Linked DNA regions of Lonchura striata. The protein of the gene in region 3 interacts with the protein of the main gene of each other region in a pairwise test. Links are inferred from orthologs where the notes say so. Each region holds a gene or a part of one and is shown on either strand. Other genes may lie near its edges.

What was found.
Region 1: the proteins of NGLY1 (region 3) and UBXN2B interact in binary tests that used the Homo sapiens proteins (3 or more experiments, as listed by UniProt). The two-hybrid records come from large-scale screens. The link is inferred for Lonchura striata from reciprocal best matches to the Homo sapiens genes NGLY1 and UBXN2B.
Region 2: the proteins of NGLY1 (region 3) and TRAFD1 interact in binary tests that used the Homo sapiens proteins (3 or more experiments, as listed by UniProt). The two-hybrid records come from large-scale screens. The link is inferred for Lonchura striata from reciprocal best matches to the Homo sapiens genes NGLY1 and TRAFD1.

Annotation. Positions count from the first base shown.
Region 1 is NC_134603.1:38,210,481-38,220,446, reverse strand, and holds the start of UBXN2B (UBX domain-containing protein 2B), read left to right. Parts: upstream 1-5,797; coding exon 5,798-5,920; intron 5,921-7,974; coding exon 7,975-8,075; intron 8,076-8,863; coding exon 8,864-8,935; intron 8,936-9,966. UniProt on the Homo sapiens protein: Adapter protein required for Golgi and endoplasmic reticulum biogenesis. Involved in Golgi and endoplasmic reticulum maintenance during interphase and in their reassembly at the end of mitosis.
Region 2 is NC_134620.1:11,681,971-11,692,078, reverse strand, and holds the start of TRAFD1 (TRAF-type zinc finger domain-containing protein 1), read left to right. Parts: upstream 1-5,410; 5' UTR 5,411-5,940; coding exon 5,941-5,990; intron 5,991-7,891; coding exon 7,892-8,027; intron 8,028-8,097; coding exon 8,098-8,151; intron 8,152-9,146; coding exon 9,147-9,375; intron 9,376-10,108. Other genes in the region: NAA25 (N-alpha-acetyltransferase 25, NatB auxiliary subunit), read right to left, coding at 1,491-1,629, 2,602-2,687, 5,313-5,370. UniProt on the Homo sapiens protein: Negative feedback regulator that controls excessive innate immune responses. Regulates both Toll-like receptor 4 (TLR4) and DDX58/RIG1-like helicases (RLH) pathways.
Region 3 is NC_134603.1:118,029,268-118,039,748, reverse strand, and holds the start of NGLY1 (peptide-N(4)-(N-acetyl-beta-glucosaminyl)asparagine amidase), read right to left. Parts: upstream 4,217-10,481; coding exon 4,056-4,216; intron 3,006-4,055; coding exon 2,891-3,005; intron 866-2,890; coding exon 623-865; intron 1-622. Other genes in the region: OXSM (3-oxoacyl-[acyl-carrier-protein] synthase, mitochondrial), read left to right, coding at 8,726-9,729. UniProt on the Homo sapiens protein: Specifically deglycosylates the denatured form of N-linked glycoproteins in the cytoplasm and assists their proteasome-mediated degradation. Cleaves the beta-aspartyl-glucosamine (GlcNAc) of the glycan and the amide side chain of Asn, converting Asn to Asp.

The DNA.
Region 1 (9,966 bases), about 80 Mb from region 3:
GTCATGTGTTACTTGAACTTTAACTATTGTTTCCTAAAATTTCACCTTAACTTATGGTAAAGTTCTGCTCTGACAGACAGGAGGAAAAAACAAAAATCAAGGACAACTGATGCTCTCCCCAGCAGCACAACCATAAGACACTTGTATAAAGAGGACTTTCTGGGAAATATGCTTTTCTTTGAATAAGTTACAGGGTAAATTATCCCATTTCAGATAAGAAGTTAAAGTGGTAGGGACGTTATTCTATGCAGAGAGTATTTCTCTAGGAATTCTTTTTCAAGTGCCTGCCATACAATTCAACATTTCAGGCATGTCTCTTTATGTTTGCAGTACTACAAAAGTATTCATGCAGGTGAGAACTATATTGAAGATAAAGAAACCATCTCAACTTGACCTATAGTTCACCAGTAGCATTTTGTCAAAACTTCTGAGAATTTCCATGACTGCCATGTAATGTATTTTTGGCCTACTTGCCTGAACCAGCAGGGGAACAGAATGTGGTATATTGTCTTTTTGTTCTCTGTGTATATAGAACTTAGACCTGTGTGGCACTGGTACTCAGCTACAGCTCGCAGCCTTCACAGCAGTAAGATGTCAATATTTAAAATTAGAAAGTGATGTGTAATGGTATCAGCCGTAAGGAAATGTTGGCTTTAAAGCTGAGCCCGCGGATCCTGCTTACTTGTTGTATCAGCACCACCTGCTGGTACCTCACATATTTTCCATTGTAATGCTGGCAGGAAGTTTTTTCTCTTAACATTTAATTTAAGCTCCAAAAATATTTGAGGAGGCGTCAGAAAGAAAGATTGTTGTTTCCTAATCTCTTTGGAGACCCCACCGAACAATTTATACTCACGTTATTTCATCTAAGGAGTACAAAGAAAGAGGTTTATCCAAATATCTTAAATCCTAAATTGGGCAAACCCTGCTCTGAAACCAATAGAAAGGATCCAGGGAGTTGACTCCTGGTTCACATATTTTTTTCACATGTTATCTAGCTCATCATATTTTGGAACTGAAACAAAATTAGATTCATCAGTACAGTGAATGATTCTGAACAGATTTGTACACACACTATGATTCACCTGTTGAGACATTTCTAAAGGAGGATTCATCTCACCTAACACAGTCACATCCAGGAATATGTTTCCAATTCAGCTGAGTGCATCTTTTATTTTTAGCTGACAGAATATATCACTATTTTTATGTTATTTTGAACTCAGATCATACTTCCTTTTTGCTAGATAGTCATATCTACAAAATAGATGCCCAAGTGAAGTGGAGATATCTTATTCATGCATTGGAAAAGAGAAACATAAGGATAATGAAGTCTGTTCATTTTTCTGGGAAGCAGTCAGCCATACATTCAGCTCTGGACAAGACTCAGCAGATGATGTCCATAATCCAAGTGAAGGGTCAAAATAGGTGTCTAAGTGACATGGCAGGGGAGAGGGGCCATTGCAGTGCAAGGGTACTGGGGACACAAAAATGCTAGTGGCACTTACAGGAGAGGCTGGAGGTTCTAAAATGGCCTTAGGGAGGACACAAAGGAAGAAGCTGATATTTTAGCTTGGAATTGGGGAGACATATAATGGGAGGGATATAAAGGGAGAAATAGAAATACAGAATGCAGGATACAGATTTGTAGGTATTTGGCTTCCTCCTGTTCAATATGTCTATTTTTCCAGCTTCTCCCACAGCAGAAGCAGTGGAAGATCTTTTGCAGACCCACCACCTGTAGGCTTGCTCTCACATCGATGTAAATATATCCTCACTGCTTTTCCTCATCAAGATGCTTTCCTACTGCAGTCTCATATATCTGGTTTGCAGCAGTTGCTGCACTACAGACCAATTGTCAAACCTCTGAAAGCTTAATCTTTGTACTATGCCTCTGCACCCATTAATTCCCCTGAGTGAGGCAAGGGCGTGGCTACTGGAGCATCAAAATGAATTAAACATACATTAGCACTGGCAGAATTAATTAAAATATCCTGATTTTCAGAGCATCTGCTGGAAAAGTGGAAAGGTTTGATCTCAAAATAGCCTTAAAAATGCAATAAAATATTTACCTCATTTTTTATTTCATATGTATTGTATACAGAAGGTTTGTCTGATATCCTCAAAGCCCGCTGTTGCCTTCTGTGTGTTCTTGAACCCTTTGCTCACAGAGTGTGAACTGCAAGGTTGTCAGGGATCTTAATGACTTGTACTTTCTTTCCAAAGGTATTGAAGTGATCAGTCTCATTTGTTCACTGTAACTGGAAGTAGTTCTGCCTTGTATGCTATACCTGAAGCTATAGTTTTGGAGTAGGTTTTTGGTTTGATTGATGGGGGTTTTTTGTTTTGTTTTGTTTTGTTTTCTTGGTTTTTTTCTTGTTTCTGTCCTCTCTTAATCTTTCATTTTATTCTACTGTTTAGGCTTTGATAGAAAACTGCCATGTGCAATTCTTATCAAGTAAAAGCCAAATACTTGTCATTTATAGATCCCATAACTGAATGATACATTATTAAATCTTCATCATCCTAGATAAATATGTGTTTCATATTTATCATCCTAGATAAATATGTTTCATCACAGACAGGAAATGCTGTCTGTGATGAAACATTTGGAGACAACCAAAGTGAGCAGGGAAATGAAGACACTGTTGCTCTTTTGCAGTTATTGTAATACAAAGTTTGTAACAAAACCCAATACAAATTGCAGAGGTAGGTCAAAGTAATTCTAGGCTGAAATGATGATGAAATAGCAGATCTCCACAGCAACAAAAAGCCTATTTTAACACACTGAGTTTAAGAACTGTAATGTTTTAGAAATTAGAAATGCGTGTAGATTTTTAACAGACTATGTTCTATTTATTTTGGTGTTTGGTGGTGATTTTATTTTTTTAATACAAATATGAATCTCTCTGCCCCTAAGAAATTTCCTTTAATTTATCTTACAATGTTATCAGTTGCAAAACAGCTGGTACATTGTGACCATAGGCCATGACAACCCATTGTGTTCACCCCAAGCCTTTTCTTGTTCCTAAATTATTTTCTGTGGGAAATTTCCCTCTAACACAGTTTACTTCACAACCACAAAGCACAGATGTCCTCTTCCTTATTGCATTCTTCCCTTTCCAACACAAGCTTCATGGAACTGAAGCTCATGGAGAAGCAATATCATCAGGGAATTCCCTGTTTCTCACTAGTCACAAAACCAGTTTTAAAGAGCTATGCATTTTTGGAAAATACAAGCAAATTAATTTAAATACATATGCTATGTCAGCACTTACTCATTTGCTTCTTGGGTAAGAGAGATACATGTTCTGTAATCTAGAATATATAATAGGGGCTTCTGAAGTTCATTTAAAAGTTTTTGTCTTACTTATCTGCATTCTCTGCACTGTAGCATGGAAATTTTTTTTCACTCTATGTATATACTTTTTATGTATTATTTTATTTTTACTTGTGTTTTTATGTTTGTTTCTGGATAGCACCAACACTGTAGTGAAATTTTGGGAAAAACAACATTACCAAAAAGAAGATTGTAAATGCTGCTAGTTTTAGTCTCTAGGAGGAAAATATCTAGAATGTTGAAGTGTATTTTAGACATAAATAAAAATACAGTATCAAATTTAATTAAAGAACTAGAGGTTGTAATTAGCTGTTTTAAATCTATAGCTGTGTCAGAAAACATTGGTCACAAGAATGATGTTATGCAAATTAAAATGGATGCTTGGGTTGCACATATTTAAATTTCTAGATATCTGTGACAATATAAATTTCACTGAGAAAATAATTATGTGCTGATCTGTATTCAGGTGATCTCTTGAAATGTTGTTGACACCTTAAGCAGACGAGGCAATCACAAAGACAGACAGGAATTATGCCAATGTTTAGGGAAGATATGCCTGTCAAAATATGGAACACCAAATTATAAAAAACTGATTTTGTAATAAAGTTATTTGGCTTTTACAGTGATTACAGTTTAGACATCCTCACTGCTAATTTGGTCTCCATCACCACAGGACATTTGGACTTAGACAGAAGCTGCACACCACATATCAACCCAAGGAAGGCTGAATGAAATAATATGACTAAAGCTTTGTGCTTGGTATAGTCCTCATGCCAATGCTTCAAGTACAGAAACCAGCTGAGGGAAGTTCCTACTTCTATTCAGGTTCCATTTTTTCCTAAATCAAGCATAGAGTTCTTTGCAAGCATATGCCCTCAGCATATAAAGTTGCGAATGTGGGAGCTACATGAAATGTATTATATATGCAATGTTATATAAATATGTATACATAGAATATATCTCCTCAGTGATGTCATTCTTCTTTGTCAAGCACACAATATAGTTCTGTAGGAAAAAAAAACCCAATCATTCATATCTACATACTCCATAAGAACAATATTGTCACCAGTGTAGAGACCAGTGTCACCACTGTCACCATTGACCCTTGAGATGGAGCTGGGTACCAGATAATATTTTTTCCTGCACTGTTTTTATGCTGGGACAGACTGCTCTGTCTGCATTCTCACTGAGAGTTTGGCTGACTATGAAGGCATGAAGCACACAGTTTAACAGTCCAGCTTAAAGAGTTCTATGAGATTCCAGCTCCCTTTGGCACAATTACCAGTGTTTCTGGACTGTAATCCAGTGTCAAGAGGGTCTGGAGAGATTGATTAGAAAGCAGAGGGTGTTTGAGCTGAGCAGCCCTAGAGAAAACTGAGGATGGCAAGAGTTCCTCATCCTGTCTAGGCTGGAGTTGATTTTCCATAAGTGCTATGTTTTGGATTTGTGACTGAAAGCCAGTGTTGGTAACACAATGGTGCCTTGACTATTGTTGAGCAGGGCTCGCACAGCACCAAGGCCTTTTCTGCTTCTCACCCTGCCCCACCAGTGAGCAGGCTGGAGGAACACAAGGAGCCTGGAAGGCACACAGACAAATCATCTGAACCTGGACACCCCATAACATATGGCATCATGCTAAGTTTTAAGGAAAAGACAAGACACTCCCAAGATTAAAGGTCTGTCTGGACAAGAGCCACCAGGAGTGAAGTCAGCAGAAGTAACCGGGGGAAAGAGAAGGATCCTGAGGAGAGCAACAAAGCTGGTGAAGGGTCTGGAGCACAAGTCCTGTGAGGAGTAGCTGAGGGAGCTGGGGTTGTTTAGACTGAAGGAAAGGACTCAGGGGTGACCTTATGACTCTCTACAACTCTCTGAAAGGAGGTTGTAGCCAGGTGGGAGTTGGCCACTTCCCCCCAGCAACAGGATGAGATAATGTAGTCTTAAACTGAGGCAGGGGAGCTTTAAGTTGGACGTTAGGAAGAATTTCTTCACAGAAAGGGGGTTAAAACATTGGAATGGGCTGCCCAGGGAGGTGGCGAAGGGTTGGATGTGACACTCAGTGCCATAGTCTAGTTGACATGGTAGTGTTTGGTCACAGGTTGGACTGGATGATTTCAGAGGTCTGTTCCAGCCTATTTGATTCTGTGATAGGCAATTCCGGCAGTGGGCGACCGCAACCACCAACTCAAAATGGAGGGAACTGCACCTGCAGACTAAGTAGCATAAGAAGGAAGACATACAACCAGTAAGCAGGGCTTTGACTACTGATAGACAAGCTGTGCAATTCGCCGCGAATGAACGCTAAGGGCTTTGTCTGCTGAGGCCCATAAACTTTACTCCGCAAAGGTCTGACGTTCGGGCCGTGCCCCCGCGGCGGGCAGGCACGGCCCCTCCCGTTGCCATGGCGGCCGCGCCGGCGGCGCTGGCCCCGCCCCGCCCGGCGCTCGCCACCGCCTCCACAAGATGGCGGACGGCGGCGCAGCGCCCGCGCAGCCGGACGGGGATGTGCCCGCGGCTCCGGCCGCCGGCCGCAGGGACCGGCAGCCCCGGAGCACCGGCCGCCCGCCCAGCGCCCGGGATTTGCAGGTGAGGGGGCGGGCGTGCCGCCCCACTCCCGGGCGGGGCGGGGTCGGGCGGAGCGCCGCGTCCCCCCGGGGCCGCCGCAGGGCTCCCCCCGGGCCGGCCCTGAGGGCAGGGCGGTGCGCGGCTGCCCCGACTGCCCCTGAGCCCACCCGGCTTTTCTTCCTTCAGCTCCCACGCCCCTTGCAGGCTGGGAAGGGGAGCACGCCTCTGGAAGAGCACTAGGCCCTTTAGGATTGGAAAACAGGTGAAACTTAGTAACTGAAACTGTCTCTGTTCCATTTAATTACACATTATGGAAAGAGGAAGATGGGTGTAGTTTTTTTTTTCATTATTACTATTTGGAATTTTCATAGGTTCTTCTTAAGATTAATTTTGCTGCAATCATAGGATGGTTTGAGTTGGAAAGGATCTTAAAGATCATATAGTTTTAGCCCCTATGCCATAGGCATGGACACCTTTCACTAAACCATGTTGCTCAGAGCTCCATCCAACCTGACCTTCGACACTCCCAGGGATAGGGCATCCTCAGCTTCTCTGGGAAATCTTTTCTGATGCCTCACTACCCTCTGAATAAAGAATTTCTTCCTAATATCTAATCTAAATCTCTCCTCTTGTAGTTTAGAACAATTCTGCCTTGTCCTATCACTATCTACCCATATAAAAAAGTTGTTCTTCCTCTTTTTTCTAAGCCCCCTTTAAGTACAGAGAGGCCGCAGTGAGATCTCTCTGGAGTTTTCTCCAGTGTTACTGTTGTGTTATTCTCCGGGATTGCTTTTTTTTATTGTTACAACAGGTAACAGTAACAAAATCTGTGTTAATAATTCTGGTTCATAAGGTTTTGGCTAGATACTTATTGATAAAGTGTTAAACCCCAAGGAAGTACCCTCCTGGGTCTGTAGTTGATTAGCGGTGCCACATGAGACGGGATTTGAGGAAAGCACAGAAACCTGGCCATGCCCTTCCATGCTCTCTCAGCATCCCTCGATCCTTGGATTAGGGATGGTACAGGGTATGTTGTCTATGATTTACCCATCAGCTTTACATATCTGAAAGGTATTTTCTTCTATCCTCAGATGGAATAGAGGCCTTCAGCAGATTTTTTGGGGTCTCTTTCCTCAATTTAATTTTCTTAATGGATATAATTCCTCATATTTATTTTTTCCTGTAGAAAATACCTCATAATATTATAAAAACAACAAAAAATAATACGGGATTACTACCCTGTGTTCATAGCAGTTTGTTTTCAAAGGCAGATGATGTTTCATTTTATTTTAACCTGTATCCCCTCTACATAAAACTGTAATGAAACTGTAGCCTAGTACCTTTCTGGTGTGTATGATAAAATGTTAATGTCAGTCACATAGTGTGAGCAGAGTGATCTGGGGACAAAACTCAGGATGGTTTGACAAAATAGAGTCCTATTCAGTACAAAAGAAAGATTGCTGAAATTACACTGTAGGATTCTTGCATAAATTTCTAAGAATGAGCTTGCCAGTGATATGGCAGCATTTTGGGAATCTTTGTGAAAAAGTTTGTTGGGGTTTGTGTAAGTATTTGTGGAGTGATGCCTTGAATTCAAGCCAGAAAGGCTGAATTTGTTCTTCATTCCAGTACAAGCTTATTTGAATTATGTTTTTTATATTTCTGTGTAAGATGTTTGTAAAATTTATTGTTTGCTTCTATCAGAGGGTTAGATTGCTGCTTTATTTCAATTTGTTACCATTAATTAATGAGCTGATGCTTAATATCTCTGTGTGTATTTACTCTTGTGACTCTAAATCTAATACAGGTTTTACATAGCTGGTGAAGTAGTGGAAACTAACGGATAGCAGAGTTCAAGTTCCAAGTCATAGTGGCCTTTAAGCATTGTGTAGTTTTTCTTTTTTTTTTTTTTTTTCATAAAGCACAAGGGAACTTGAATTTTAGTTGGGGTTCCTCATGTTGATATTTCTACTTTCCTGGACAGATGGATATTTCACATTAATTTTTGTCTTTATTCTATTCCATATGTAGTTCTTGAGTTATAGGCTTACAAAAATGAGTTCTGTTTCCTACAGCTGGCCTTGGCAGAGTTATATGAAGATGAGGCTAAAAGACAGTCATTGTGTTCTGACAAGCCAACAGCTACAAAGATCAGTAACCCAAAGGTATCACAGAGGTAAGATGTGGGGTTTTTTTCAGAAATGCGTGTTAAAGGAGGTCAAGCAATAGAAAAGATCTTACTGACCAGTTATGCTTTGAGTTCACTGCAAATGCAGAAATCTATTCAGGAAGAGAGACTTTAGCAGAGTGTGGGACAGTTGGAAGTATAGGGTGTTTTGAGGTTTTTTTTGTAACTTTCAGTGAACCCACCTAAGCTGACTAACCACCTATACAGAACTAAGTTTACAAACAAATAAAGCAAACGGCTCCATTTACCAGTACATTTCATGAAGGTATAACTTCCTGCTCCCAACCAAAGGAGAAGCTTCAATACCATATATCAAATACTTCAGTGTGATAGTTGGCAAATACTTGTTATTTGTTGGCATTCATACTGGAATCTGCATGAGAAGGAAGAGATGAATTAGTAGACTTCAGTTAGCTCTCAGATGAGAGCAATGCATTAATTGCATGGAAGCAGTGCTGCTCTTCTATGCTAGAAGAAAATAGTTCAGTTGGACTATACCTATAGTGACCACCCAGTCCAACTGTTAATGCAAAATGACTCTGCCATACATGTGCCTTTTCCTCCTTGTTCACGGAGAAGCATTAATGGCTGTGAACTTTGACAAAAAAAACCCAAACTAAAACAAACCCAAAAAACCAAGCAACCAAAACAAAACCCCAAAAACCAGAAAACACAACTCGATATTCTTAGTTTTTGAAAAAGAAGTAATTTCAGAAGTTAGATATGAAGTTTATATGCCAGTTATCTTCAAATGCTTTCTTTTATTCTCTTGGCAGTCTTAAACTGGATTCTCTTAAAAGGTTGAGAAAACCAGAGAGAAGCATGAGTGATGACAAAGAAAACCAAAGGTATTTCTAAAACAAAACAAAAAATAATTTAACAATTGTGAAAGTAATTGGGGTTTGCATCACTTTCACACTTTGCTCCCTCATGTTCTTTCAAAATGCGTGTGAGCTAGGTCTGTCCTGCAAAGAGCTAGGGACTTATTAGAATGTTAGCTGTACACTGTTGTAAAATTATATTTAGCAGAATCTGGCTGGAGTTATGTAGGACCTGTAAATGCCTTAACCTGTATGGTCATAAAGGTTGTAACTTACACTTGTACTCAAAAACTTTTTTGTCTTTCTGAGTATCCCGAATTGTTCTTTGTATCTATTGCTCAAATACTTGAGTGCTTCCTTTCTTTCTTGAATACAAATTCTGGTAAGAATTCCTGTTTCATATCCTTACCACTATCATTCTTTTAAATCTAATAATTAAAGATTTTCCATATAAATTGTAGTTGGGGCAATAAACACAAGAGATGTACAAATGACATGTTACTCAGGGATTGACAATTATGTGGCATTATAAAAACAGTATGATTGTACAGTACTCTCATACCCAGTACTCTCTTCTGGTAATTGTAAAATATGATGAAATCAAGACATTGTAAAGACATTGGTCTAAGAAACAGTTTCACATGGATTAATTGGTTTGCCTTGCCCCAAGTGGTTAAGTGTAAAAGTTGAGGAAAGTGGAAAGCAGTTATTAGTTATTAACATTTCTTGTAATCAAAGAAAAAACAATCAGGTTTGCCAGATTTTGATTTATTTACATATTTTTACAGCATCTATTCCAATGTATTTAGAGATTGTTGTGCCTTTCTCAAGATAATTCTCGAGGAACATCTTGATCTTAATCATCAAACAGATACAATTTTGAACAGAATTATTTTTAGTGTAGCATTTTGTCTTCAAGAGCTAATAATGGTGCTATGAAGGAAAAAAAAAAATTAGAAATTGTTATTTTCATAACAGTTTCTGCAGGTTTTAAAATGCCTTGAAAGTTAATCATATTTATTTAAAAATTTCCATTTCTGATACTGTTGGGAATTGAA
Region 2 (10,108 bases), on a different chromosome or scaffold from region 3:
AACATCAGGCAAAGGAGGAAAGTGCTTAAAAAAACTCTAAACAAACCTCAAAATAAACTTAAATCAAAATAGAGTTCAACAGCAGCAAATGAACTGCTCAGAGAGAATTTTAGGTCTACTTTTAAAGTAGGTTTTTCTCTATTTTTGAGCATTAAACTGAATGAAGGTTTCTCCTGCTGGCAGAATGACTGCTCCATGTGAATCATGTATCAAAACAAACACTTTCAGAGCCTAATAGCAAATTAATTATTCTTATCACAGGTTTACTCATATTAATCATATCCTGCTATCTCCCAACTGCCTATATCAGAACTCTAAACAATTATTTCATACTATACTTTTTAATAGCAGGTCTATCATGACAAAATACTTCTGATAGTACAACCTGCTAAACTTTCTTACATTTTCATCCTTCCATATTTTTTTCTTACACAAACAATTGTAGCTCAGAATAGAAGCAGAAAAGCAAACGTAATTTGCCTTTCACACAGTTTATACATCCCTGACACAGATGTAGAAAACAACTAATTACATTAATTTTCTTGCAAGACCAAAAGTGGAAGTGCCTCACACCCACCAGTTCCTGAGTTACAGACCTAAAAGTTACAAAGCTCAGCTTAATGGAAATTGTTAACAATCACAGAGAGGCTCTTGTCATTCACAGGGGTTTATGCTGAAGTCAAAAATACAGAAAAATATTGGTATTACTCAACAAATGATACTTTATCTACAAACATACATACACAAAGAAATCAACTGGGAGAACATAATTGCTCTTTTGCAGACTGATGCAAACTCCCTTTTCTGAAGCTGTTTCACCCCTTGATCGTTTCTCCAGCAGTTCACCAATAAATTTTGGTGCTATCACCCACCAAACTCCACAATAAACATTGGTACCACCACACCACACTCCCCAAGAAGCTGCCAGAAACAACAACTGTTCAAGCTGCAGAAAAGCAGGACAGGAGGTCTGGCATCTTTCAGAAAAGCACAGGAAACTTTCCTCCATCACTCCAACGCTGATGATTCAGTATTTTGAAAACACAAATCACTCCGAGGAACCTGACAAAGCTGATGTGGCCAAACTGGGAGGTGCGGATTCCCCTCCTGGTTTTCACCACTTTCCTGAGGCCTGAACCCCTCAACTACATCACACCTTGTGGGATTTGTCATCTCTGTCACTCTACTGGCAACAAATTCCAGTAGTTTCATCAATAAATGTGAACTCCCAGGTGTGGATCATTATCAACACGCTTCACTTAGGAGCTGCTACACAACTGAGTTCAGAACAAGCCTGAATGAGGATTCTTTTGCTTTATGAAAATCACTCCAGCCTTACAGGCATTACAACAGGATCACTTCAATTCTGAGTCTCTTAACAGTCTCTCACATACACAAATCCTGGATTTTACACTTTTCCCACCAAACTGTGGGGCACAAACCTTCCGGAAGAACACAACTAGAGATTTCTGGGAGAGGAACAAACTCACGTCTGTGCATTTCCCGGTAGAGAATGGTCAGTGCTTGCAAGGAATTATCATCTGTGGGTTCAAGTGCTGCTACTTCTTGTGCCAGGGCATAGGCTTCATCCTGCTTGCCAGTCCTCTGCAAGCCAATGGCCTTCAGCACCTGTGGACACAACACAGGCAGCTCTCAGAGACACAGTCTGCATTTGGAAACCCTCTCGCTCCTGCTGGGAACAGCCCAAGCACCTCATTCCCTCTGCACAACTCCAGGATTTATTAATCTTTTAATCCATATGGCTGGACAGGAAAACTCCCAAATGCAACAGCATCAAAGAGGGGATCTGACTTCTTAATAAATGCTGAGGTTGCCCCGAGGTATCATCACATAATTTCTCTACCTGGAAGCTGTAAACTGACCTGTCCTGGCAATTTTCCTTAGTTTTCTTTCACTAACTGGCCAGAGAGAAGTGACATAAACGAGAATCAGGTCAATGACACTCTCTGCAGCTTGGGAAGCTTTCAAAATGTAGAAGTGGAGTGAACTGCAGCAGGAAACCCCCAGGGAAATGAGAAAAGCAGAAAGAGTCACACGTTCAGAAAAGGGAGGAACAGAATCCCTTTCCCTCAACAGGGTCACAGCGAGGAAGGTGGACAAGGAAAACAGCAAATGCCTCCAAAATCATGGAATCCTGGAGTGCTCTGGGTTGGAAGGGACCTTAAAATCATCCAGCTCCATTTTTCATGGACCAAGTCTCCCCAAATTGGCCTTGAACAATTCCAGGGATGGGGCATCCACAGCTTCTCTGGGACACCTGTAATGTCTTCCTCAGACATTTCCTCCCAAGGAGATGTTTTGATCCAAACTCCCGCAGATGGCTATCCCAACCCCAGAACTCCAAGAAGCATTTTTAAATCCCAGCCCATGTGCCAAGGTCACCTGGAGTGGTGCTGACAATCAGCCCAGGTGGAACCAACACTCCAGTCCCTATCAGGTCATTTCCAGGCAAACAAGATGAGCTGGAACAGAGACATTCCAGAGGGCTCAGAAATCACTGTGGAAGCTCCCGGAGAAAGGGACAGTGGAACACCCCGAGACTCAGGCAGAACGAGCTCAGTGTCCCCCAGTCCCACTCACCTTGGCACAGTGAAGGTCCTTGTGCTTTTTGAGCAGTTTATCTGCTTGCTGGATTGCCATTTTATTATTGCCATTATCGAGATAATCTGCAGAGGAAGAGCACACACAAAATCACACCAGAACACCAAGGCCATTCTGGAAAGCCACCTCCAATTTTACCATGGAGCATCAGCTGTCACACCAGCAGCAAAAACCACATTTTCCCTGTGCAGCTTCTCCTAAGCCAAACATTCAGGAAACTGTCATTTCAGGGATGAAGGATTCATCTCATTGTACTGGTTTTAGTCACTCAAACAAACAAGCTTTTGTAATTACTCCACACAGATCATTACAGCAACAAAAGAGACACATAATAGAGAGGATTCTGCAGCAACAGCTCTTTGCTGGCAGTGCAGCTCCAGTGCTTTAGCAGGAAAAGTAGAAATTAATTTGGTGTGTCTTTGGGAGACTTTCAGTGACTTTTAACAGGCAGGAAGTTAGAAACCAAATACATACACACCAGCAAAGTGGGAAACACTTGTCTACAGCATCCATACCTCACAGGCAGAGCAAACCTGTCCCCCTGGAGTACCACTACCCTTCCACCAGGCTGGTTTTGAAGGCACAATTGTGAAGCATTAGTATTTCCTAGGGAGACATCCCACTATCTCCAGACCATTTTCTCCTCTTTTAGCTCAGAATCACAACTTTCAGATTGATCTTCACATCATTACACAATTACAAACAAGCAGTTTTAGACCAGGACACAACCCCTATATGCTCCCCTTCCCTCAAAAATCTCTCTTTCCTCAGCTAACCCAACTTTGCTGCCCCTCATGTGCCAAGGGAAGGAAGGGGCTGCTCACACTGCTCTGAGCTCTCTCCTGCCAGTTACCTGAAATTACATCACACACCTTTACCTCGCCAAACCTGTCATTCCCATTATGAGCCAGAACTTTTTTACTGAGGGTAATCCTCAGCACGAATTGTGCATCTATTCTGATTCACAGATTTCTGTTAAACAGCTCCCACATTTGCTCCTGTGGCCAGGTGGATGTTGCATATTTAAAGCAGAGTTAATTGGGCTCTTGAGCCCATCCACAGCAAACCTCTCACTAGTCAGCCTTTCCACACTCACCAAAATAAACACTGTGGCATGAAATCCAGTTTGAAGCCACAAATTTCAACTTAGGAAACCTCTGTGGAACCTCTAACATTAAAACTTTGGGGATTTCTCAGTGAAGAGGTTTCAAAGGTGTGGAACAGCACATCAGAGGCTTCTTGCTTTAAGGCTCTGTCACCCAGCTTAGTGACACACAAATTATCCCTCATGCTGAGCTGCCTGACTGGGATTAACAGCTGTGCCAAGAACATCTCAGCTTTGGGTGTTCCAAAGTAAATCAAATAACCCTCAAACCTCCCAAAAACACAGCAGAATGAAGAGACTGTATTTTCCTAACGAGTCAGGTTTCTGGAAGTCAAAGCAGCTTCCAAAGGAAATGAAGCTAAATGAAAATAAATTTCAGCCAGCGCTAGTTCATAGGTGGGGATGTTCAAAGGCTGGAAATGCACCACCTGAACCTTCAGGTGAAGGGAGAAATGTCAAGATCAAAGAGAACCAGAGCTGTCGAGGAATCCCGGGGAACCACTGCACAAACCCAGGCACACCTTGAAATCCAGAGGCAGACCTTGGGCCTCACAGTGCACCTCCCCAGCTGCTGAGGAGGGGAAGTTGTGTGCGTTTATCACACGCTTTATTTTGGTTTCTGCAGCACCACAGCCTGAGAGCAAATCTTGCACTGCAGAGAATCCTTCCCAGAACGAGCAGAAAGGAATTCTAAAGCTCTCTCCAAAATGAACGCAGCGAGATGCTCAACATCACCTGCTTTGGTATCAGCTGAATTTACTCAGCTTTTTATATTAGAACCATTTCTTACACAGGTTACGACAAGAACAACTGTACGTCAATGAAACTGCCAATCACAACACGGATGGAAAACTAAGGGGGGAAAAAACCTTAAAATCGTTACATAAAGACAAACGAACTTGAACACCTCTAATCGAACAAACCCATCTTGCTCCCTTCCCCTGGAACCCACCACGGACTCAGCCTGTACTGCACCATCCCTCTGCCCCAGCAAAGGACATCCCAAAGCACGTCCAGCCCCAAACCAGGGCAGCTCTCCACGGTTTCCATCCCTGCTGAAAAAGTTAAGAACGCTTTCCTCAATCTCTATCAAATCTTCAGTTCTAGGGACGAAACGATACCGTAGCCCGGGGAAGCGTTTTCCTTTTATTTCTCCATATTTGCATAGAGCCAAGCTTTGCCTACAACCTCCGAAGCAACCCCAACAGCGCAGAACACCCTCGGAAACATTCGGGGGGGACACAACAACGCCGGACAACTCCCAACGACACCGTCCCCTTCTACTTCTCTCCCGCCTCCCAATTAACTCCCCCAACAGCGTCACCGCTCCGTGCCACAACATCCAACCAACACAACTCCGGGGCACCCGCGGCTGCTCCCCCGGGGGTTCACCCATGCCGGCTGCCCCGCGGCAGCGCACACAGCTCCGGCCGGGGTCACCTGGGCTGCGCTCCCCCCAGGCCGAGGGGCACCCCGGGGCGCCGCGGGACCCCGGCCCGGCCGGGCGGGCGCAGCCCCGCGGGGCCGGAGCGCGGCAGGGCGGCAGGGGGGCTCGGGGGGCGGCGGCGGGGCGCGGGGTCCGTACCGTAGATGGGCCGCAGCCGGCGGTCGTTGGGGTCCTGCACATGGCCCCGCGCCGCCATGATGAGAGCGCAGAACGCAGCGCGCAGCCGCGGCCGGGGGCGGGCAACGGCGGGCGGGGCGGGGCGGGCACCGGCACCGGCACCGGCACCGACACCGGCACCGGCACCGGCACCGACACCGGCTCCGACACCGGCTCCGACACCGACACCGACACCGACACCGACACCGGCACCGGCACCGGCACCGACACCGACACCGGCTCCGACACCGGCACCGGCGCCGGCACCGGCACCGGCACCGACACCGGCTCCGGCACCGACACCGACACCGGCACCGGCACCGGCACCGGCACCGGCACCGGCTCCGACACCGGCACCGACACCGGCACCGGCAACGGCACCGGCACCGACACCGGCACCGGCACCGGCACCGACCTGATCTCACCCGACCCGACCGACTCGGAGATCGCCACCCGCTCCCTCAGCAGGCCGGCACACCCGCGCCTGGCGCCCCCCGAGCGGTCCCCGCAGGGCCGCGCTGTCGCTCTCGCCGGTGCCGCCCCCGGTCGGAGGCGGCGGCGGGTGGCCCGGTGCCCGGGGCTGTGAGGGGAGCGGGCACCGCACGGAGCCATGGCCATCGCGGCCGTGCCCGCCGCCGAGTCCCGCCTCTGTGGCAACTGGTGAGCGCGGGGTCGGTGAGGGACAGCCCGGGGTCGGTGAGGGACAGCCCGGGGTCGCTGAGGGACAGCCCGGGGTCGGTGAGGGACAGCCCGGGGTCGGTGAGGGCCGGGATCGGTGAGGGCCGGGCCGGGGTCGCTGAGGGGCAGCCCGGGGTCGGTGAGGGGCAGCCCGGGGTCGGTGAGGGACAGCCCGGGGTCGCTGAGGGCCAGGGTCGGTGAGGGGCAGCCCGGGGTCGGTGAGGGACAGCCCGGGGTCGGTGAGGGCCGGGCCGGGGTCGGTGAGGGACAGCCCGGGTCGGTGAGGGACAGCCCGGGGTCGGTGAGGGACAGCCCGGGGTCGCTGAGGGCCAGGGTCGGTGAGGGGCAGCCCGGGGTCGGTGAGGGACAGCCCGGGGTCGGTGAGGGCCGGGCCGGGGTCGGTGAGGGACAGCCCGGGTCGGTGAGGGACAGCCCGGGGTCGGTGAGGGCCGGGCCGGGGTCGGTGAGGGACAGCCCGGGTCGGTGAGGGACAGCCCGGGGTCGGTGAGGGCCGGGCCGGGGTCGGTGAGGGACAGCCCGGGGTCGGTGAGGGCCGGGCCGGGGTCGCTGAGGGTCGCACTCGCTGAGGGCCGAGCCGACCCCGCCGGCACATCGGGGTGCAGCTCCTTGGAAGGCGGAGAAACACCGGAGACGACCGTAGGGCCTTTCCCGTAAGCGCCAGGGCGTCGCGTTTCCCTTCTGATTTAGTAGGGAACTGAAATAGAAACCGAAACATTCGGATGGAAATCCAGGCTCGCTTTTCAGTGGGGCCCGCGCAAAATACACGATTCCAAGTTTTTTCTTCAGCGGTTCCGCGGCTCAGGAGGAGAAACGCGAAAATAGGATCAGTAGGCAGTGTTGTCAGTGTTGTTGTGGAAGTTTTTTTCTTTGATTACTCCTTTCTGCAGAGCCCAGTGGCTGGTAAGGAGTCACTTCACAAGTTGTGTGTTGAATTCAAGCAGATAAAGAAATAAACTTTTTTTGTAGTTGTTTCTCCCCAAGAGACATGAGAATCCAGACATTTTCTTGCAACATAAGCCTGGTTTGTTTGGTCAGTCGCTGCTGTTGGACTTCGTTGCTTTGCCAGGCTTTTGGCTGCCTGGCATCTGGCAGGGGACAGAAAAGCTGTGGTTTTAGCAAACAAAAGGTTATAAAATTAATTTAGGTGTTTTCAAGGTGGATTTCTTGGAAAGGGCATGATCCGTGTAGAAATTATGCTGTGTGTTTGAGGCGGGAGTAAGGACTGAGCTCCAGGTGCCTCAGTTCCTTTTGGTCTTTTTGTGTTTGGGTTCAAGACAGAAAACGAGCATATTAAAAATGTGGCGAATTGGGGAATTTTGGAGCAAAATGAGGCGAGTTGGGGAGTTTTGGGGTGCAGAGGAGTGTTGTTACTGCTGGGGCTCTGAGCAGCCTGGTCTGTGGAGGTGTCCCTGTGAGCTTTAAGGTCCCTTCCCACCCAAACCATTCCATGGTTCCATTATCTTGGAACAGGATCTGTCAGGCATAAAAAAGGCACTGTTTGCTTTCCAAAGCACTGTTTGACCTCTCAGAGCCAAGTTACTTTCAGGAAGAAACTTTTATCTTCTCAGACTAATTTATTAACTTGATCCCTGGTGATTACTTGTTTGTGCTGCAAGATTTCCCTTTCACATAAGGAAATAAATCCACCTGGATTTTATCTGAATGCAATGTGACTTTTGCATGTTAAATACATTAATAGCCACCTGTGCTGGAAACCTGAGGCCTGGCTGGGCCTTTTTCTAATCACTTTTAGCCGTGAATTCATTGAAATCTTTCTTAGCATTATCTTTTTGTTGTGAACAACTTTTTGTATTTGTTGTCAGTTTGTTTCTGCTCAGTAACCTCTAGCAATTTTCTCACAGCAAAAAGGATATTCCTGCAGTCAATTTCATCATCCATGAAATCCACTGTAGAAGAAATATTGAAATATGCCCCTACTGCAGCGACTCCATCCCAAAGTCTGAGATGAAGAACCACATTGATTCTGAACATGTGCAGGTGAGAGACATCTCTGCTCTGAAGCTGCCATTTCTGTGGAAATTCCCCTAATGAGGTCTCTTTGCTGTAGGTCACCTGCAAATGTAGGATGAAGATGGAAAGCAGCCTCCTAAAGGACCACGAGGTTGGTGGATTTTATATTCTTGAACCCTTGGGGGATGCTCTGGTGTTTCACTGATTCCAGAGCCTTTGGATGCCAGCATCCAGGTTTGTACATCCTTTTGTTGAGTGATGCTTCCTGAACTCACACCCTCTGGGAGAAGGGATTGGAAACTGCCCTAAAGTCCTGGAGCCTCTCAGGGCTTCATATCAGAGGGGTATCTGTGGTAATTGGTGAGTTTTTTGTCCTTGTCAGTTGAAAAATAGCTATTTAAAGTATGATTGACTTGACTTTTTTTCATTCCTTTACTGTTTCATGTTTCTCCTGAAGCCATTATGTGACTTCTAATAACTCAATCTGTCCAAACAGGCTTTAAAAATAGCCCGTAAAATAAACTAAAATAGGCCAGAGTGGGATTTTCTGAGTTCTGAATCCAGTTGGCTGCTGTCACAGACAATCTTGTTATAAATGTTATCCCTTCCTGTGGGCTCCTTTAGAGACAACTCTGGAGCTGCCACCTCAGCCTGCTGATTGCTGAGGAAAAAAGGATTTTCTGTGGAAATCTGTCCAGTTCTAAACCCTGGGAGTAGCTAATCCTGCATGTGGTTCTTCTGGATTATAAAGCAAATGATGATGTTTTATTAGTGCAGGTTGGTCATTAGTGCAGCATCTGCAAATATAATGTATTTAATTTAGTTTTAACCCCTTTTGAAGGGGGTTCAGTGTGGGGTGAAAAACATGTCCAAGCAGTTCTTGCTGAGCAGCAAATGAGGTGTGAGTTGGTTCCCTAAAAACGAGTGTGGATTTTAGCTGTGCTCATGGAATGCAACTGGATCTTGGGTCGTATCTAAAACCCAAGTCCAGAAATCACATCCTGAGTGTCTGAAGAGCTTCAGCTGCCCAGTTTGTGCCTCCAGCACATCACTGTTGCATTCCCACATCGTAGCTTGCTCCAGGTTCCTCCTTTGGAAGTGGCTGAGGAAATTCCCTGGGAAGAGTAACCCCGTGTGTTTTCCCAGGCGTCCTCGTGCCCCCTGCGCCCCGTGCTGTGCCAGTTCTGTGACATCCAGCTGGCCTTCAAGAAGCTGCAGGAGCACGAGCTGTACTGCGGGGCCCGGACCGAGCCCTGCGGGCGCTGCGGCCGCAACGTCCTGCGCCGGGAGCTGCCGGAGCACCCGCGGCTCTGCGGCGGCACCGCGCCGGCCCCCGCCGGGGAGCGCGGAGCCGGGAGCGGCCGGCACGGAGCAGGTACAGCAGGGGCTTGGGAAGAGCCAGAGCGGGAAAAGGAGATTTAGAGCGGCTGTGGGACACAGCTCCAGGGACAGAACCCCTAAGGACAGAATGTTAAGGGACCAGAACCACTAAAGAGAGAATGTTAAGGGACAGAACCACTAAGGACAGAATCTTAAAGGATAGAATCCCTAAAGACAGAACCTTAAGGGACAGAACCCCTAAAGGGACACAATTCCAGGGACACAACTCCTAAAAACAGAATATTAAGGGACAGAACCACTAAGGACAGAATTAAGGAACCAGAACCCTTAAAAACAGAATTTTAAGTGACCAGAACCTTTAAGGATAGACAGAATCTTAGGGGACAGAACCACTAAAGACAGAATCTTAAGGGACAGAACCCTGTAAGGGACACAACTGCAGGGACACAACTCCTAAAGACAGAACCTTAAGAGACAGAAGCCTTAAGAACAGACAGAATCTTAAGGGACAGAACCACTAAGGACAGAATCTTAACCAGAACCCTTAAAAACAGACTCTTAAGGGACCAGAACCCTTAAGTGGACAAAGGAAGGAAGAACTGGCTGCTTTTTGTAGCTGGTCTATGTGTGAGGTTTTGTGGTTCCTTTCTGTGAAAATACAGGATAGTGAATGCTCCAGAGGCTCCAGGTGGAAATGTTTACCCATGGAATGAGGTGCCTGGGATAAAAGCCCAGTTGCTTCTTTTTTTTTTTTTTTTTTTGTCTCA
Region 3 (10,481 bases):
ACTTCACCTCAACCTCTTGGACAAGGGAAACTTAGCCTAAATAACTATAAATTTGTCCTTGTCTGGCTAAATTTCTGTTTTTAATGACACACACGTGAAAAAAGAAAGCCTCCTCACAGGCTATACATAGAGATCATAATGCATGAACCAAGACATCAACAATTATAAGCATTACGGTTATGCTTCTTTTCCTCTGTTGGCTCTCAAACACCAAACACAACCCTAGTCTTAGCTTCTCACTCTCCCCCTTGTTCCCCATCCTGCTGTTCCTTTTCAATACGTATGAGCTTTTTTTCTTGACTCCCTGATCAACAGAATATTCATGGACATCTTCAACAAAATCTCTTGCTAACATTCTGTTTAGAGCACATTTCATGCTTAAGTTCTATGTAAACTGAAGAAAATACTCAAAAGCCTTCAGAAAGCAGTGGGGAAAAAATGTCTAGTCCAACCTTCTTAAAGCAAGATTAGCTATGTGGTCAAATCAAGCTGCTCTAGGCTTAATAGTGTGCTTATTTGGACTCTACTTATTTTCTCTGAGCAACTTGTCCTAACAGTTAACTCTTCTTCAATACTTATATGCAAGACTAACGAGCATATGAAGTTCACAAATTATAATTACCATTTCAAGAGACTGCACAAGTGATGTTTCTGGTCGCTGACGGGCAGGGGCAAAAACAGAGTCAACAGGTCTCGAAGGCCGTTGTGCAGCTGTCTGAGTGCTGCTGACAGTTTCAGAGGCTCCTGATCTGTGGATTTGGTTTGACTCATTCAGTCTGCTACTCCTCTCTCCAGCAATTAAGTCTCTGATTTTACGTAGTTGCTCAATTGAAGCTTCCTTAGGGAAAACCAGGTGAGTTTCTCCCTGAAATTTAGACAAATTAATTCAGCAGTTAATGCAGGTCGAAGCTGGTCAATGATCTGTAGCTGTAGCTGAGTTTACTGGAAGTTAGCATCCTAAGGCTTGGCAGGATTCAACCTTTTAGATTAGATCCCTTACAGTAAAAGCTTGAAGCCTCTCACAGCTTCAGAAGCCTACCAGATAAAGAAGCTAGAGTCAATCTAGAGAAAGAGGGCTCATAACAGCATGCTTTTGTTAGTAGCTTATTCTGTGGAGACATTTGTGGGCTATGTCATTATGGTTTGGCACAGAAAGCAGCAACAACAGAAATGAACAATTAATGCTCAGTTCTCACAGTACAGCAATGAAATCCTAGGCAACACAGGAAGACATCCAATGTTGAGGGAAGAAGTCCCAACAGCATCTGCTGGAAATTCTCTTACATAATGGTATCTTTTATGTTGAAGTTTTAAGTTTTCAGATAGGCAATATTATCCTTATTACAACTGGTACCTGGGTTGATTTCTGGGTTTTATTTTTGAACTGCAACATAATTACTGGTAGTATAACAAGAGATCAGTAATTATGACATAATCAAATCAAATATCTGTGTAATTACCATACAGGAACAGGTTACTAAAAACATGAATATCCTGAAACATTCATCCTTTAACAGTTTCAGTTTCTACCACTGCAGCACTTCTATTTATAAGGTGATTTGTTTACCTACAGTTACTTGAGGTCACATATCACAGCAGATGGAGGCTTTGTGTTAACACTTAAAATCACCACAAAACTCAAAAGAATGTATCAATCCATTATCAAGCAGAAACAAAAGAAGGAACAATATCAGCCATGCAGTTGAAGAGAAGTTTGTGAGCTCCACACCTTTGACTGACACAATAACCATAAGACCGAGGCAACACACTCTGAGAGACCTGCCCCCACCTACACTGCCCACCTCCTGGCTAAAATGCACAATTAAAAGCCTCCTGAGCACCAGCATGAGAATACATCCACAGACCATTTCTCTCTCCGTAGTCACCACTTCTTTCAGCATACTTTTTCTTCTAATTAAAACATTACAGTAATTAAATTTACCCAAAGAGAAGGCAGAGGTCTCATGACAGCTGGACCTAAGTAACATCATGTACAAACCCATACAGAAGTGTGGCATCAAAGAGACAAATTAAAGCAAAACAAGAACTTTGCACTGTTAAACAAGAGCTGGGTTTTCAGACCAGCTTTCCAGCTATTATAAAAACTGCTTCTAGTTTAACAATCTTTGGCAGTTTAAGTTCCACCAAGACAGGGACCACTTCAGAACACAAAGCAATCTTTGAAATGAATCCTTCTGACTGCAACAGAATCAAGATTCACTCAACATTATTTTAGGATAATGTTCCATAAGTTTTAAAAATGGGTTTTGAAGGACTCACCCTCCTACTACTACTTGAACAGTCAGTCTATTGCCCTTCACTGCTGCCATGACAACACCAGTACTTGTGCAGCTGCACTGTGAATTGGCTGAAAAACATTTCTGGTTTTGTTTTGAAAGATTAAGTTTTCATCAGATCAGCTTCCCTTACCTAAATCACTACAGGGATCTACTAATGGTAGGAATATGAAGAAGAGCAGGGCTTTTATTTTTTTTCTCTCTTTAAAATGGTAGTTTCAACACCCATTTATAATGTCTGATGTTCACCAAACAGCAGATTACTACAAAGAAAAGGATTTTCCACCTTGCTTCCCACTACGTCCTTTGTGCCAGCATGGATATGAACCCAGCCATTCAGTAAACCAGCAGTGCCTGAGCAGCTAAAAAAAAAATCTTGTTAAGCATTACGTTAGCTCATCATTTTTCTGAAGCAGCCACATCTAAGTTCTCTGCTGGCTAGCTACAGATATTGGCAGACAAGGACTGAAAGAAAATACCAACTGCCCTAAAATGTACTGCTGCCTTGCAACTAGAGAAGTAGAAAAAAAATTGCAATTTTAAATTTTACTATGTAAACTGGCAGACACCTTTAGTTACTACATTATACTCACCTCTTGAAATCCCATCTCAAATAAACATTCAACTGCTCCTCTGACGGGCAACAGCCTTGTGGAAAATGCTGGATTTCCAATCCGAATTAATCTGTATTTTTCCTCATAGGGATTCCTGAACAAATTGAAAGTTATAATTATATTTGCAAATGAAGTAGACACTTAAAAGCTGTGCAACTGCACTATGAAAGTTTTTTTTTTTTTTAATTTTAGATTCATTTATGTCACTTCAGCAAAACCAACATAAAACTTTGACTTTATAAATGTCTTTTTGTACTTAGCTTTGAGTTACCAACTAGTGTTAAAGTTTAGCTTGCAACTTATGTTCATGAATTCATGTTGTAGTTATACCCAGCAGGGCTAAGTGACACTTAGAGACAACTTCACATCTCCCTGTACCTGGTGCATTCTAATTGAACACGTCAGGTTAATACTGGATGGCTTTGGTCCCACTATAGAAGCTATGCTAATCTTCCTGGTACTTGAGTGAAACGACTGGGTCTCAGTAGCACAGAGAGGTGCTCTTTCAACTCTTTTAAAACTCTTTTCTTTCACCTCTTCCTTTAAATGAAGCCAGGCCCGGACTCGCCATTCTCTGTCACACAGCAGCTTTTACAAGAGGTAAAAGCTTGTAAAAGACAAGCCAGATATAGACAGGGAGGGGCAGCCCATACACCTCGAGTTGCTGGAAGATATCAAGGTCAATCACATGTACTAGCGTGTATGTGCATCCTACAGAGCCACCTCGCAGAAATCCAGCTGTAATTAACTCTTGGTACCAACCTTGCGAAGTCAGAAGCATAGGGCAAGCGAAAAATAGAATAAAAAATAAAATTAAGTTAAAATCAAGTTAAATTCCTTGCTGTGCACCACTTGTTTTTAGGTAGTTCAACACCCACCTAAGGTGGATGATCAGGAACAAGGCAGCATGTTGTGAACAAACTCTTAAACTTACAAAACAAACCAACCAGCAATAAAGAAACAGAAATACAGAACACTACACCTCTAGGTAAGCAGCATTAAATTAAAAATAACGACAAAACCACGCGAGACGCTTCTGAACTCCGGTATTACACAACAGAACCGAAGGCGCCGCGCGGAGCCGGGAGCGGCCGGGGGGACCCTGCGGCACCGCCCGCGGACCGAGGGCGGCGGCCCCGCTCACCGGAGGATGTTGTCGGCGTAAGTGAGGAGCAGCCGCGAGGCCTCCAGGAAGATCTCCCGCCTGTTCTGGCACAGCTCGCTCACGGCGGCGGAGCCCGGCGAGGACTCGAGCCCCAGCGCGGCCGCCATCGCTGCCCGCCCCCGGCGCTGCGCCCCGCGCATGCGCCGCGCGAGTACCGAGGTCACCGCCCTCAGCCGGGCAGCGCCGCCTGCCGCTGGGCGCATGCGCAGTGGGAGCTGGGGCGTCACCGGGCGCGGCCCCGCGGCTCCGGGCGGCGCATTGCGGGGAGGCCGTGAAGGGTTCAGTGCTGGTCTGGGCGGCACCTCCCGGCCACACCGGGACCTGTGTCCCGAAGCAGCTTCCTCCACACGGTGTGCAAGGCGCCGATCCACGCGCAGGGGCGAGGTTTTTGATTTATTTCTAGATCTGCGCAGAAAGGGCTGCGCAAAGACGGCACGATAGCTACCGAAATTTATCACTATTTATACATTTTAGCAAATAAAGGCATTCACGTCCACTGGATACAAGTTACACAGTTCTCTTATTAATAAACATGCTATCTTCTGTTGGTCAAATGATTCCCCTCTTACGCTGATTAGTCCACATGCTCATTTTTTTTCTCTCAATGGTTGCAAGCTTGCCCTGCCAGAATTACCTTCTGTCCAGCCAGAGCTGATCCCAGCACTGCTGCTGAGTTGGCTTTGCTGGTTTCTTCCTTGTCTTGGGAGTTCTGCCTAATCTCCTTGTGTCCAATAAATTCTTCATTCTTTGTGCCCACTGACAGTAGTACATCCTTCTTCCTAAACTTTGTAAACCTCCACCTCTTTGATGTGTGATTTCACTGAAACATGTGAAGCCCTAAAAATGCAATTCTGACAACAAGCAATTTGTCTTTCTAACACCTGGACATAACTTAGAACTTGATTAAATCTTCTTTCTGGTCGATTTGGCTTGAAAGTATACAAATATCAAACAACATAATTTCTTAAGAAAATGTTTACCTGTTCCATGTTTTTGGAACATCAGGAGCCCCTTGGTAGGCAGTAACATCACTGAGGACATAAATCTCCTTTTGTACTCCCTGGTTTGATAGTACTGAGGGTGCCACACCTACAGGCTTACAGGGTTGCCTGAGCAGGAATGTCACTGCAGCGACTTGCCCCGGCTACAACATCTGCCTTGCACTACCCAAAGTCCATCCCACAGAGGCAAAAACCCCTGGTCTTCTTCTTCTAGACGTCCAATTTGTGCCGCTACTGAAAGAACTGTGGCGAAGAACCTTGCTTTATTAAGAATGCAGATTTAAAGAGTTCCAAGCAAGAGAAGTCTTTACAATCCAAGCTGCTTTCTGATTTTGTAGGTGATACTACAGTATGGCTCTGCTGCCTGCCTCTGACAGGTCACTGCTCAGCTTCTATGACTGTTTAAGATAGTGGTATGTGTATCCCTCACAAAAGCTGAAAGTTAACACAGGGCAGTTCACTTTTGCTGAGATTACATTTATTATTCCCACTAGCATAGTTAAAATGTTACTATTTCATCCCTCAGGATCATTGAACTGGTACCAAAGTAACAAAATTTTAGTTTAAAATTATGCCATGTTCCTTGGCTTCTACTTCAGCTTTTAATTTCCTTTCCATGTGTTACTTGTAGACATGTGACTCTCAATGTTGGCTGCCTTCAGAAATACAAAGATTAACTATATTGCGATACATGTATGCATATAAATACATAATGCATCTCAGTATAGCATTTGTAAACAATGCTTTGGGAGTGCTCATAGGCAAGCAGTGTGAAAAATTTAGAAAACCAAGTGCCAACTTCCAAAAAATTGCTAACATATTAAATGCCAAAGGAATTTTATTTCCAAATTAAAAACAGACTCTTTATTTAAAAGAAAGTACACACAAATTCCTTTTTTCTTTATTAAATATTGGGGGGCTTTCTCCTTTTTGGCTTTATTCCTCTTCTTTTTCCTGCAGTGCATGCCTCATTACTGGGCTACAGTTTGTATTTTTAGGTAGCTGTATTTGCAGCTAATAAACATTATTGTGTTGTGCGGGGGTAAATTTATTTCAGTTTTTGCACTGCTGCTTACTAAAATTAAATAAAGTATTACCAAACAAGTAAACTCACACTGTAACTAATTCATGTCTTTGTTGATGAGACTTGGACAAACATTTTATGATCTGCCATGGTAGCCTGTCTGGGATAAGGTCTTAGACAAACCGGAGTGTTTGTTTAAAGGCTTTTGGGCTGTTTTTGGTTTTTGGTTTGGTTTGGTTCTTTTTGTTGTTTTGGTTTGGTTTTTGGGCTTTTTGTGTTTTGTTTTTTTTGTAATTTTTTTTACTCCTCCTTTGCAAACACGTGGCTTGAGAAGGAAATTACTTCACCGCCTTTTCTCGGTGTCGGGGCCGTTCGGACGATCACGCCGCCCGCCCACACCGGCGCCCGCGGGCGGGGCCAGGCGGGAGGAGCCACCGCGGGCCGCGCCTACCCGCGCACCTCCTCCCTTCCCCCCGCGCCTGCGGAGTGGTGCGGCCTCCCGCCGTCGGAACGTGAGAGGGAGGTAGAACGAACCATCGCGGAGCGGGGGGAGCGCGGCCGGCGGGGCGCCGCTGGGGGCTGGGGCGGGGGGAGGCGGGCTTCAGCACGGGCCGGGGGGACGCCGCTCCCAGCGGGGTGGGGCGGGCCCGGCCGGCAATGGCGGCGCCGGGTTTTCTTGTGGTGCCGGGGTTTAACTCCTGGTTTACACGTTAAAAACGTCTGGGGTGTTTGGTAGCACTTGTTCCCCGGGGATATTATCCTGCGCCTGGTTTTCCCGCACAGCAGGTATCGGGCGTTGTTGGGTCGGACAGGACGGCTCGGCGCCGGCTGGCGGCATTTCAGTAAAGGCTGCGGGACGCGCTGCCTTACAGAGCTCTGCAGTCATATTTTATATATGTATATATATATATGTATGTATGTATATATATGTATATGTATGTATAAATATGTATATATGTATGTATATATATACACTGATAAAATACGCTATCATACATTATATATATGTATAGTAATGTGTATAAAATACATTATCGTACACATTGTATATGCTATACAATATACATCGTATAGTGTATCTATAAACCATATATATGTTATACACTATGCTCCATAAATATGCATTTAATATGACTGCAGAGGTGTTTTATATTCTGTCTTAGATATAGAATATATAATATTCTTTATATATTTATATATGTGATTTGCATTATATAATACATACTATGATATTTTTATACACGTATACACACACACTACCTCTTTTATAGAGGGTAAGTGACTTGGAAATTTTGGGCCAGGATTTAAAAGTGACTCCTTTAAAAATATTTTCTTAATAATTAAGTTTAATAATTGCATAAAATATGTATAAATATAATATATAAGATATGTATAAAAGGCACTGTATAAAATATAATGTATAAAATATAATATATGGTTGTTTACTGTTTTTATTCCCTACCCCAAGTGTTCTTGGCCAGGCTGGATGCAGGTCTCCACTGCCTGGTCTAGTGAAAGGTGTCTGTGCCCGTGTTAGGGATTGTTGGAATGAGATGATCTTTAAGGTGCCTTCCAACCCAGGCTTTTCTATGGTTCCATGACATTTTTTAGTAATGCTGCTGTGCACAGGTCTGGATATTTTAGCATGAGTACCCAGCAGCTCCTTATGGTCTTCATACAGCTCTCTCCATTTCACCAAAGAGCTGGGGATGCCAAGTTACTCTTTGGACAAAACAAAAAGCAGGCAAGCTATTGAAGCCTGCCTTGTAGGTGTTGGCAGAGCTGTACTGCAGCCTCTGCCCTGCTCCAGCATGTCAGATGTGTGCAATCAGGCTGGCTCTGGACTGGCAGTAGCCAAGGCAAGGAAAAGGGACTACAGCACAGTACAGCAGCATTACTGCTTGGCATAGTCCTCTGGTCTTTCCTCAAGTACTTGTTCTCAGCAGAGGCCTTCTGCCATCACTTGCTGTGCCTCTTGTTGCCTCTTGTTGGGGTTGCCTTCAATGGAGGTGGTGCTGTGCTCCACATCTTGCTCAAGCTACTTGAGATACTGTCCCCTGACAGTGTAATAACTTGAGGCTGATATAGGTGGAGGTGGAAAGACAGGGAGTCTTGTCCTAGGTGTGTAATTACATTAGTAGCAGAACCAGAACAAGTTTATTGACTCCTGTTTGAGGTTTCTAGACCGTTCTGCCTGACATGAAGGTTCAGATGACAATATCCTCAACTTGTTAATTGTGGGCCATACTTTTTCCCTTAGAAGAATGAATCTGTTAATGCTCATTGTTTCTGCCTCCAGCCAGCTGTGGTTAAAGCTCCTGGGGAAATTTTGCAGTAAAACCAGAGAGTGCTTCACAGTCCACAGTGGTGCAAAGTCATATTCATCAGCAGCTTAAGCTAAATGAGCTCACTAGAGGCATTCCTAAAGTGAACATTTCTTTGCCATTATCTGTTGTAATTCATACACAGACACAGAAACTATATCCCTTTCTTCAGTCATTCTTTCAGGGTGTCATGTAAAAAGCAGGTTATTCATTTAATGTTCTTGGAATGTTTTCCATACAGTCTGCTTTACTGTTGTGTTTGTCTTTCCCAACCCCCTCCACCCCTCTCCGTTTACAGGAATGTGCCTGATTATTGCCACCATGTTCTCACAGTGCTCACAGGATCTGTTAAAGATTGCAAATCTTCATCTTCGGAGTCTGAATTTAAATCTACATTTACAAAACCACAGAAGGGCTTTCAGCAAGTCACTGCCTTCATGTCGAAGGAAAGTAGTTGTTACAGGTATTGGCTTAGTGTCCCCTCTTGGTGTGGGGACTCAGTTTGTGTGGAAGCACCTTCTGGAAGGAGGCAGTGGGATTACATCACTAGATGGGGAAGAATATGCAGGCATCCCATGTAGAGTGGCTGCGTGTGTGCCAAGGGGAAACAAGGAGGGTGAGTTCAGTGAAGAAAACTTTGTGTCAAAGTCAGAGATCAAGTCCATGAGTTCTGCCACTGTGATGGCCATCGGTGCCGCAGAGCTTGCAATGAAGGACTCTGGCTGGTCTCCCCAGTCTGAAGAGGACCGCTTGACTGCTGGTGTGGCAATTGGGATGGGAATGGTTCCACTGGAAGAAATCTCTGACACAGCTGCCTTATTTAAAACAAAGGGTTACAATAAGGTCAGCCCATTTTTTGTTCCAAAGATTTTAGTCAATATGGCAGCAGGCCATATCAGCATTAAATACCAACTGAAAGGGCCAAATCATGCTGTGTCGACTGCTTGTACCACAGGTGCACATGCAGTTGGAGACTCCTTTAGATTCATTGCTGCTGGTGATGCTGATGTCATGTTGGCTGGAGGGACTGAGGCTTGCATTAGTCCTTTGTCTTTGGCTGGATTTGCAAGAGCCCGGGCCCTCAGCACGAGTTTTAACTCGAGCCCCAAAACAGCGTGTCGACCCTTTGATTCGCAGAGGGAGGGGTTTGTAATGGGAGAGGGTGCTGCTGTGCTGGTCTTGGAAGAGTATGGACATGCCCTACAAAGAAGTGCTAGGATCTATGCAGAAGTTTTGGGTTATGGACTGTCCGGTGATGCTTGCCACATTACAGCACCTAATCCCGAGGGAGATGGTGCATTCAGGTAAGAACTCTATGTTGAGTAAGAACTCTATGTTGATTATAATCACTACTTCATATGTTCATTGTAGTGGGTGCGTTTGTTTCTGTCATTGTATATTTTTTCATAGAAAAGGGATGTTCAGTCTTGAATTAATATTCCAAAAGCTTGAAAATCTGAAAAATTAAAAGAGTTTCTAGTAATATTCTGCCTCGATTCTCTTTTTTCAGTAGGAGGGTGAAGGCCAGTTCTTGGTAGAATCAACCTTTTTCCATAGAGTTATGAAAGCTTTCTCAGTGTGAAAACAATTTTCCTTTGGTGCATACAGCTGTTCATATAAATAAGTCTCAACCTCTTTTTAAGATCTTTGTGATGAGATAGAGTGAAGGAGAACCTGTAAAGATTCTTTTTCCATCAAGACAGACACCCCCCCCCCCCCCCCCCACCCCAAAAGCATGCTATTTGTTGCAAGAAATCTCAGGTGATGAAAGCTGTAGAGCACTTAGAAGATCTAGTTTGTTAGAATATTCAGTACTTTATTCAGATGCAGCTAAGAGTGTTGGTGAAGGAGCATAGCAGAAATGCACTTTAGTACTGTTTGGGGAGGTGATAAGGCTTCATCAGTGTTTATCTCATCAAATTAATTTCACAAGTAGATGATACTCATCTAATCATTATCATTGACCTAATTAAATTGCTAGCTAAGTTACATGTGTAAGTTGGAGAGCTTCATGTAGGCCAAGTACTATGGCTGGCATTGGAATCTTTGGTACTAA